Linked DNA regions of Saccharomyces cerevisiae S288C. The protein of the gene in region 1 interacts with the protein of each later gene in a biochemical or structural test. Each region holds a gene or a part of one and is shown on either strand. Other genes may lie near its edges. The genes, in order: CBF2, CBF1 and CEP3.

Region 1 (3,600 bases):
ATTAAATATTAAACTTGATATAGTAGGAGAAGGAAGTTGTATATTGTTCTCTATAAACACAAACAATAAAATGATATATTTGTTTTCTTATTTCTTCTTGATGTCTTCAGGAAAAAAGAACATAAACAAATACAAAAAAATCCTAGTACGAAACCTCAAAAGGGTGTATGCGCAATGTATATATATAGCAAGAAAAAAAAATAAACAGTGGCATTACAGTGCATGCGGATGGCAGTGTTCTTCGGTGGCTTTTTCGAAAAACCTAGAATGCGTTTAAAAGACTCAGACACCTAAGCAGAATATGCGAATGACTCGTTCAGTAAAATGCGACGCGACAGTTTGTTTTCGTTCTGCGCTGCTGTGTTCTCTATTCTTTTGAGATGAATTTAACGGCTATGGAATCATCTCGAGAAATCGGTTCTAGTAAGGCACCAAGACATTATGTCCCTCGGGAGGAGAAGGGCGCACGCGTCAGGCTTCCACGACGTCCGCCGTGCATGCGCTCTCGCATTTTTAAGGTTTAGTGCGGCAGGCGACTGCGCTGCGGCCAGCCCGTGAGACCACCCGAGGGAATTTGAGTAAGCGCGCCCATTGCGGGGTTTTTGCGGTTTGCGCTGTTTTCCGCACGAGGTTTCTCCGGACACAGTTAAGCAGTATATTTCACTCGGAAGCGCCGGAAAATTTTTTTAAGCGCAAATATATTCAGGTAAGCAGCAAAAAAATACTTTTTCCGGTGGCCCGTGATGTGTTTGTAACAGCTTCTGCGGTACTTTGGGCGGCTAAATGGCAAATAGATCAGGGGAAGGGTTTTTGCATAGGTACAAAATAACCGGATTTTGGGTAAGATTCGATCTTCGGCACTTGTGGCGAAGTAAAAGTGTTGAAAAAGTTCGCGTAATAATAGTGTTAGCCGTTTCAGCTTCGTCCATAAAGTACATATCCACAACTCTCATGGTGCGAAGTACAAACATTGAACGGCAGCTGTCTTGCTCAGCTAGTGGTATGTAAGCAGCCGCATTCTATTTTTATTTTCGTGCCTTTAAGTGTTAAAACCTGAGGCAGATTTTTTATTTTTTTGCATTCCCCTTCCTTTTTGCCGTAATGGCGCATTCAGTGCTGATATATTTATACTTCAATGGTGCTTCTCCTTACTTTTCTTATAGAAATAAACATCAAAACATGAACCTCAAATTCATCCGAAAATGACTGCGGCCACTCACCTTGCTTCTTCCCCACAAATATTTGTGTTCTCTGCTTTCTTTGTGTGTACTTTGTCTTGCTCTATATAACTTTCTCTCTGCTGCTGAGTCTTCAAATAGGTAGATTGATGCCTGTGGACTTTTATACAAAGGAGTTTGAGTGATTACATTCAAGATAAACGTGAAAAGTTATTATTATATCTTATGCTAAACAACAGTGTAATTGCGTTTGTTAAGCACAATCTCAAAATAATGCGCTAACAGTGGTGCGCATACTGCCATTTGTTATGGGCTATAATCGGATAGTGTATTCTTCTTGTTTGGTTATGTATCTCAACATCCAGGTATCCGTTACCCCACTTTGATACCAGGAACCTTTCGCGTTTTCTCTCGCTTTTATTTTTTTACCGCATACAAACAAACAAGAAAAAGTAGAAAACATATGAGATCATCGATTTTGTTTCTACTAAAATTGATGAAAATTATGGATGTTCAGCAACAGCAAGAAGCTATGTCATCAGAAGATAGGTTTCAGGAACTGGTGGACTCCCTAAAGCCAAGAACTGCGCATCAGTACAAGACCTACTATACTAAGTACATACAATGGTGTCAGCTCAATCAAATTATACCGACACCGGAGGACAATTCTGTAAATAGCGTCCCCTATAAAGACCTGCCAATATCTGCTGAACTGATACATTGGTTTTTGTTAGATACATTAATAACCGATGATAAGCCTGGAGAGAAAAGAGAAGAGACTGAAGATCTTGATGAGGAGGAGGAGAATTCATTCAAGATCGCTACGTTGAAGAAAATTATAGGCAGTCTCAATTTTTTGTCAAAATTGTGCAAAGTTCATGAAAATCCAAATGCTAATATAGACACAAAATACCTGGAGTCAGTCACCAAGCTTCATACCCATTGGATAGATTCACAAAAGGCAATCACCACTAATGAAACAAATAACACAAATACTCAAGTGCTGTGTCCACCATTATTGAAAGTGTCTTTGAATTTATGGAACCCAGAAACTAACCATCTCTCTGAGAAATTTTTTAAAACCTGTTCTGAAAAATTAAGATTCCTGGTGGATTTTCAATTAAGAAGTTATTTGAACCTTTCATTTGAAGAAAGATCAAAGATACGATTTGGTTCCCTCAAGCTCGGTAAAAGGGACAGAGACGCTATAATTTATCATAAAGTAACTCATTCGGCGGAAAAAAAAGATACGCCGGGCCACCATCAACTCCTTGCATTATTACCCCAAGATTGTCCATTTATCTGCCCTCAAACTACATTAGCTGCATATTTGTATTTAAGGTTCTATGGTATACCATCTGTTTCGAAAGGGGATGGCTTTCCCAATTTGAACGCTGATGAAAATGGCTCACTTTTACAAGATATTCCCATACTAAGAGGCAAATCACTGACAACTTATCCCAGAGAGGAAACATTTAGTAATTATTATACAACCGTGTTTAGGTATTGCCACTTACCTTATAAAAGAAGAGAATATTTCAACAAATGTAACCTTGTTTACCCAACTTGGGATGAAGACACTTTTAGAACATTTTTCAATGAAGAAAACCATGGAAATTGGTTAGAACAACCTGAGGCCTTTGCGTTCCCTGACAAAATACCGTTCGACTTCAAGAAAATCATGAACTTCAAATCGCCCTACACTTCGTATTCTACAAACGCTAAAAAGGACCCTTTTCCGCCTCCAAAGGATTTATTAGTTCAAATATTTCCGGAGATTGATGAATATAAAAGACATGATTATGAAGGTTTGTCTCAGAATTCAAGGGATTTTCTAGATTTAATGGAAGTTTTACGAGAAAGATTTTTGAGCAATCTACCATGGATTTACAAATTCTTTCCTAATCATGATATATTCCAGGACCCCATTTTTGGAAATTCCGATTTTCAATCATACTTCAATGACAAAACTATACATTCAAAGGGTTCACCCATTTTATCATTCGATATACTACCAGGCTTTAATAAAATCTATAAGAATAAGACAAATTTTTACTCACTCTTAATAGAAAGGCCTTCGCAGTTGACATTTGCTTCGAGTCATAATCCAGATACACACCCCACTCAAAAACAAGAATCTGAGGGGCCATTACAAATGAGTCAACTTGATACTACACAATTAAATGAATTATTGAAGCAACAGAGTTTCGAATATGTGCAGTTCCAAACACTTTCTAATTTCCAAATTTTATTATCGGTATTCAATAAAATTTTTGAGAAATTGGAGATGAAAAAATCTTCAAGAGGCTATATTTTACATCAGCTTAATTTATTCAAAATTACCTTGGATGAAAGAATTAAGAAATCTAAGATTGACGATGCCGATAAATTTATACGTGATAATCAGCCCATTAAAAAAGAA
Region 2 (3,794 bases), on another chromosome or scaffold:
CAATGATTCTAATTCATAAAAATAAACGTTGGTTGTTTTCCAGAAAGTAAATAACAGTTGTTGTTAACTATATAAGATACAAATAGCGGAATGCCAGACTAAAGACAAGTGCACTCTTACTTGATCTTCGTCCAATGTTTCTTCTTAAATAATCAAGCAAAGCCCCAAAGTAGAAATAGGCCCGTGATTGTCGCGGACCTTCAAGGATGTGACGTTTTTGCCTGTTTTTTTCAGGTAATCCTCTCCACTACTATCTTTTTTCTTTTCTGCGACCCAAAAAAAAAAAAAGGAAGGGAAAACTAAGATTTTTTGATAAAAGGCGGGAAAACGGAGGTTGTGCGTATTTCTCTTGGCGATTTTTCCATTGAACGTCAAAAAATTCTTGGCAAAACTTTTTTACTAAGCCATTTAGGGATGAAAAACAATAACGTACAAAGACATATTTGAAAGTCCGTCCCGTCCTCTTTTACTTGCTGAGTTTGAGGCTGAGTGATTCTCTAATACCATCCGGGCGGTTTCAAATATGCCGATGGAATATTGATAAAAACTTAACAGAGGTGCTATGGGGCAGAGACGCAGATACATAGGGAGACTCGAAATACATTTAGCTATCTATTTTTAACTCTCAAGCCTCATGTGGATTATCGCTCCTAGTGCTTTTTCTTTCGTTCTCTTGTTTCTTGTGAGTGTGCATATCCTCGTATTCTATTCCCTCCTTCCTTAAAACGCGTTTCATGTACTCGATTTCTTTGTAAGCATTTCCCAGTTCTTCCTGCAGTTTCTCATTTGCACTGGCTAATTGCGATGCGTTTTGCTCGCTAAGCAATTTTTGTAACGTCCACTTTTCGATGTTTGCTTCATCGGTTTCTTTCAATTTTTGAATGTATTCAGCGGCACACGCCAATATTGCTGCCTTACTTGATTCTCTCACGGGCAGGAGGTCGCTTAAAACGTTGATTGCAGTGTTGATGTTTTCGCGGCGACGCCTTTCGACTTCTTTATGGGAGTCTTTTCTTTGCTTTTTCCACTCGTCTGTTGTGGCCAAAGTAGTAGGTTTTCTTCCACGACGACCCGGCTGCATGCTTATATCCTTTTTGAGATCAATGTCAGCGTCATCATTGTCTTCATCATCCTGTTGGTGTTCTGGCCCACGATCGTGTTCTGCCAATGGTATGAGCATGTCGTTTTTAGATTGCTGTGTAGATTCCATTGGTGAAGACGTCATTCCCTCCAGGGAGGTGTTTGGCTTGACTCCTTCATTTGATGGGGTTATGGCTCTTTCCCCATTAAGGGAATCCTTGTGCTCACCATTCGCGTTCGTTTGATTAGATGTGTGGGCATCAGAACTATCTTCCTGGCCCTGGATTAAGTCTGTATAATTGACGGTAGCGGCAACAGCAGCCTCAGCCACTGACGCATCTTCGTCATCACTTCCTTTCTCATCTTTGTTAGACGTCAGTCCGCTTTCATACTGACTTTGAGTCCCTTTTAGCGTAGCCCCTTCGCTCAACAGAGCAGAGTCAATATTTCCGTCATTGCTCTCTTGTGACAACAAGCCTTGATCTCTTTGCTTTTTCCTGGCCTCGCTGTAGTTCTGCTCCTCGTTATAGCCTCTTTTTCTTGCCGAATGGATTTCCTCATCCTCAGTAGAAAGCTTATTATTATTTGCCAGAGAGTTCATCGTTAATAAAAGTGTAGAAAACCGTATTATATTTTAAGCACTTGATGTTGGTACTTGTAGCAGAAATGAAAATGACCGCCAACTAAAATGATTAATTAACAAAGTGTTTATCTTTAAGGTATAATGGTTTACATTCTACATTAAATAAAAAAACGTGATAAGCACGTGGATAATTGTTGTTTGCCCAATACTTTTCTCGTCCGATTTTATTTTTTTTTTGACCTTGGTGGGTGAGACATGGTGGTCCCGAAGGATCCGAGAGGAATGAGAAAAACCGATCACGTACATCGATGTACGGGAAAAATAAATAATAAAATGTTTGTTTATTGTTTGAAGTAAAATATATAAGTACATATGTGGATTTATATGTGTGTGCTTTATTTCATTGTTTGATTTATCTTCCGTTCTTTATCTTTTCCCGGTGGGATATTTTATATAAAAAGCTTATAAGGAAGGGTATGAAAGAATATGACGATACTAAAGCATAAAAGAGGGAATTAAAGAAGTCCTAACGTCTATCTTGAGATAAAGGCGCTCACGGATGACATGTTTGTAACGCTGTTGGTAATGTCCAAGTGGTGGTGAATTACCTTCTTCTTTTTCGAGGATGACACGCTTGGACTTCCGAGGCTTCTCAGTGAATTGCTTGATGACGAAACATTCGGTGCGCTAAAGTTCTTTGTAGAAGCCGGTGTTTCCGATTTGAGTGATAGGTCGCTCATACGCTTATCTAATTGAGTGCCAGCCTTTGCAGGGAGCGGAGTGGGGCCATTATGTGTTGGTGTAGTAGGGGTGGAGTTTAGCATCGACTTTAATTCCTTCATTGTGGAATCATCTTCGCTTAAGTTGTCCTCTACTTTTGTGGAGGTTGGTGTTGGTTTTTCCAATATGCTGTCCACATTAGTCGTGGTAGCCTCTTCAATGACTTTGTCCTTGTCGCCGTTCTTGACCTCATCTTTCTTCAAATTTTCCTTTTTATCTTGCTGCTTAGGTTTGGTGCTTTCATTCCCCCCTTCATCCCCAACATCGTGTGTTTTGGTCTTTGCGCTATCTTTTACCTTGGATTTTTGTTTCAAGGAAGGAGATTCTGCAATTTCCAACATCGATCTTGGTTTAGAAGTGAGCGTTTCCTTTTTTAGGAATGGATTAGACGTGTGAATGACCTCTTGATCATGGGGTGCATCTAATGAATTTTCACTAAAATCATTGGTAGAAGTACTTTTCCTTAATTCAGGAACCCTTACTAAGTCATCATCATTTGGCTCGACACATGTTTCAATTTGTTGGAAAAACGGATCATTAAATAAATCATCCATTGTATATCTAGTTGCAGGGTTCGGGTCAGCCAATCTCCATGCGATACGCGTGGCATCAGTATTCTTGAAATTTCTTGCTAAAGAGTATTCGGAACCAGGACCCGGCTTGTGGCAGCCCTTGTCCCTGAAATGTGGGTTTTGATGATTGATGAAGTTGTCATATGACACTTCAAATTCCCTGAATCTCGCATCAGTGTTACAAGAATCGATGAAGGGGATGATATTGTTAATCATGGTAATCAGCATGATTCCGAGGGCATAGGAATCCATGGCCAACGGATTATAGGGTTTTTGGAACTTTTCGGGGTAGTGCTTCTTGGCATCGAAGTACATTACCTCTGGCGGAGTGTATGGTGGAGAGCCAATCATACCTTGGCATGTTTTCACTGGACTAGTGTAGTCATGAGGTATCACATGGTACCAATCAGAAATACCGAAATCCGTCAATTTGCATATACCTTCTTTAGAAATTAAAACATTTTCGGGCTTCAAATCACGGTGAGCAATACCATTGTCATGACAAAACTTAATACCTTGGGCCACTTGTTTGAAAAGACAATATTTTTCATTGAAGGGAACGTTCTTCCAGCCTGTTCTTTCCATCAGTTGGAAGAGGTCCTTAACACCTAGTTCCATAATAAACCCCCAACCACGAGTTGTATATGTGGTCGTGGGAACTTTTAGAAGATAAAAAGTATTCGTGATGTGAACGTTATGACTTAAATGCTTAGCTATGATGAATTCTTTGGAGCATCTCTTGTAAAACTTCTCGGGTGACTCGTGGTATATCATATTCA
Region 3 (3,838 bases), on another chromosome or scaffold:
CTAAGGGTTAAGGAATTAGTAAGTTTAGGGAGGAGACAGGGAGATTGTTCAAACGAATAGCGTAGATTTAACTGATCATACCTCAGAAACTAATTGTATAAAATGGCAAATCTGGATGGGAATAAATTTGACTCATGCCAGGTAATTATACCTTGGACTTGTATCATAGAGATATAGATTATACACATTTAGAAAATTAGCCAAAAGAAAAATGCCTACCTTGTATACTGATATCGAAATCCCACAATTGAAAATCTCTTTAAAGCAACCGCTAGGGTTGTTTATCAACAATGAGTTTTGTCCATCATCAGATGGAAAGACCATCGAAACTGTGAACCCAGCTACTGGCGAACCGATAACATCCTTCCAAGCAGCTAACGAAAAGGATGTAGACAAAGCTGTGAAAGCTGCCAGGGCTGCTTTTGATAACGTTTGGTCGAAGACATCTTCTGAGCAACGTGGTATTTATCTTTCAAACTTATTAAAACTTATTGAGGAGGAGCAAGACACACTTGCCGCATTAGAGACTTTAGACGCTGGTAAGCCTTTCCATTCCAATGCTAAACAAGACTTAGCCCAGATTATAGAACTTACAAGATACTATGCGGGGGCGGTCGACAAGTTCAATATGGGTGAAACCATTCCATTGACTTTTAACAAGTTTGCATATACTCTAAAAGTTCCTTTTGGCGTTGTTGCTCAAATCGTTCCATGGAATTATCCTCTAGCTATGGCTTGTAGAAAAATGCAAGGTGCCTTAGCGGCCGGTAACACGGTTATCATCAAACCTGCTGAAAATACCTCTCTATCTCTACTTTATTTTGCTACTTTAATTAAAAAAGCAGGTTTTCCACCTGGTGTTGTCAATGTCATTCCTGGTTATGGTTCCGTTGTGGGGAAAGCTTTAGGAACCCACATGGATATCGACAAAATATCTTTTACGGGAAGTACTAAGGTTGGCGGCTCAGTATTGGAAGCTTCCGGCCAATCGAACCTTAAGGATATCACACTAGAATGCGGTGGTAAGTCTCCTGCTCTTGTATTTGAAGATGCAGACCTTGATAAGGCTATAGAATGGGTAGCAAATGGTATTTTTTTTAATTCGGGACAGATCTGCACTGCAAACTCAAGAGTTTATGTTCAAAGTTCGATCTACGACAAGTTTGTTGAAAAGTTTAAAGAAACTGCAAAGAAGGAGTGGGATGTTGCAGGAAAATTTGATCCGTTTGATGAGAAATGCATCGTTGGTCCAGTTATATCAAGTACACAGTATGACCGCATCAAAAGTTACATAGAACGTGGTAAAAAGGAGGAAAAGTTGGACATGTTCCAGACCTCTGAATTTCCTATTGGTGGAGCTAAAGGCTACTTCATTCCCCCAACCATCTTCACTGATGTACCAGAAACATCTAAGTTGCTGCGTGATGAAATATTTGGCCCGGTTGTGGTTGTTAGCAAGTTCACAAATTATGATGACGCTCTGAAGCTGGCTAATGATACTTGCTACGGGCTCGCCTCTGCGGTCTTCACCAAAGATGTCAAGAAAGCGCACATGTTTGCTCGCGATATTAAAGCAGGAACTGTTTGGATCAATCAAACCAATCAAGAAGAAGCTAAAGTTCCTTTTGGCGGATTTAAGATGAGTGGTATTGGTAGAGAATCAGGCGACACCGGCGTTGATAACTATTTACAAATAAAATCAGTCCATGTGGATCTTTCATTGGATAAATAATTCGTTACATAGTTATATAAATGTTTACATGAGATTCAAAGCTTCATATTCTATGAAATCTTTATTTTTTACGGCTTTAAATGAAGTGCGCGCAGCCATGTAAGCTAAGCGTAAGAGAATGAAATATTATAACCAACCTTCAGAGAGCAGGTGATGACAAAAGTTACGAACACGAGTTTGCATCCTAATAATAATGTTTAACCGTACCACTCAACTGAAATCCAAGCATCCCTGTTCCGTGTGTACGAGGCGAAAAGTCAAATGTGATCGTATGATACCGTGTGGAAACTGCAGGAAGAGAGGACAGGACTCCGAATGTATGAAATCAACAAAACTAATAACGGCTTCATCTTCCAAGGAATATCTCCCTGACCTATTGTTATTCTGGCAAAATTATGAATATTGGATAACGAATATTGGGCTGTACAAAACAAAACAAAGAGATCTTACTAGAACACCAGCTAATTTGGATACTGATACTGAAGAATGTATGTTTTGGATGAATTATCTTCAAAAAGACCAATCATTCCAATTGATGAACTTTGCTATGGAAAACTTAGGTGCTTTGTATTTTGGTTCCATTGGAGATATCAGTGAATTATATTTGAGGGTGGAACAGTACTGGGATAGAAGGGCAGACAAGAATCACAGTGTAGACGGCAAATACTGGGACGCACTAATATGGTCTGTCTTTACCATGTGCATTTATTATATGCCAGTCGAGAAGTTAGCAGAAATATTTTCAGTATATCCTCTCCATGAATATTTGGGTAGCAACAAAAGGCTCAATTGGGAAGATGGTATGCAATTAGTCATGTGCCAAAATTTTGCACGCTGCTCATTATTCCAATTGAAACAATGTGATTTCATGGCGCATCCCGATATAAGGCTCGTTCAAGCATATCTGATTTTAGCCACTACAACTTTCCCCTACGATGAACCGTTGTTGGCAAATTCGCTCCTAACACAGTGCATCCATACCTTTAAAAATTTTCATGTGGATGACTTTAGACCTTTACTTAATGATGACCCCGTTGAAAGCATCGCTAAAGTAACCTTGGGAAGAATATTCTATCGCCTGTGTGGATGCGATTATCTTCAATCGGGGCCACGCAAACCAATTGCACTTCATACAGAAGTATCCTCCCTATTACAACATGCAGCATATTTGCAGGATTTGCCTAACGTTGATGTTTACAGGGAAGAAAACAGCACAGAGGTCTTGTATTGGAAAATCATCTCATTAGACAGAGATTTAGATCAATACTTGAACAAGAGTTCTAAACCTCCCTTAAAAACATTGGATGCTATAAGGAGGGAGCTCGATATTTTTCAATACAAAGTAGATTCGTTGGAAGAAGATTTTAGATCAAATAACAGCAGATTTCAAAAATTTATTGCACTTTTTCAAATATCTACTGTTTCCTGGAAATTGTTTAAGATGTATCTCATTTATTATGATACCGCAGATTCACTACTAAAGGTTATACATTATTCTAAGGTAATCATTAGTCTTATTGTTAATAACTTCCATGCAAAAAGTGAGTTTTTCAACAGACATCCGATGGTGATGCAAACCATTACGCGCGTGGTCTCTTTCATCTCCTTTTACCAAATTTTTGTGGAATCGGCTGCTGTCAAACAACTTTTAGTAGATCTAACTGAACTTACTGCAAATCTGCCCACAATATTCGGTTCAAAACTAGATAAACTAGTTTACTTGACCGAAAGGCTCAGTAAATTAAAACTTTTATGGGACAAGGTACAGCTTCTAGATTCAGGTGATTCGTTTTACCATCCTGTTTTCAAAATACTACAAAATGATATTAAGATAATTGAGTTGAAAAATGATGAAATGTTTTCTCTCATAAAAGGACTCGGGTCTTTGGTACCGTTGAATAAGCTTAGACAAGAATCGTTGCTTGAGGAAGAGGACGAAAACAATACGGAACCAAGTGACTTCAGAACTATTGTAGAAGAGTTTCAATCCGAATATAACATTTCTGACATACTTTCCTAACTGCAACCATATTTCATATCCTTTGAAATCTCGCGGATGAATCGTTAAAGGAAAGGGCATACACTTTCAAATGAAACACAATCACA

What was found.
Region 2: the proteins of CBF2 (region 1) and CBF1 form a complex in vitro, tested with the Saccharomyces cerevisiae proteins (2 studies listed by BioGRID).
Region 3: the proteins of CBF2 (region 1) and CEP3 form a complex in vitro, tested with the Saccharomyces cerevisiae proteins (4 studies listed by BioGRID).

Annotation. Positions count from the first base shown.
Region 1 is NC_001139.9:765,788-769,387, forward strand, and holds the start of CBF2 (Cbf2p), read left to right. Parts: upstream 1-1,641; coding exon 1,642-3,600.
Region 2 is NC_001142.9:546,646-550,439, reverse strand, and holds CBF1 (Cbf1p), read right to left. Parts: upstream 1,682-3,794; coding exon 626-1,681; downstream 1-625. Other genes in the region: protein kinase PTK2, read right to left, coding at 2,197-3,794. UniProt on the Saccharomyces cerevisiae protein: Required for chromosome stability and methionine prototrophy. It is involved in chromosomal segregation. Binds to a highly conserved DNA sequence (5'-RTCACRTG-3'), called CDEI, found in centromeres and in several promoters.
Region 3 is NC_001145.3:597,246-601,083, reverse strand, and holds CEP3 (Cep3p), read left to right. Parts: upstream 1-1,925; coding exon 1,926-3,752; downstream 3,753-3,838. Other genes in the region: aldehyde dehydrogenase (NAD(+)) ALD3, read left to right, coding at 212-1,732. UniProt on the Saccharomyces cerevisiae protein: Acts as a component of the centromere DNA-binding protein complex CBF3, which is essential for chromosome segregation and movement of centromeres along microtubules. CBF3 is required for the recruitment of other kinetochore complexes to CEN DNA.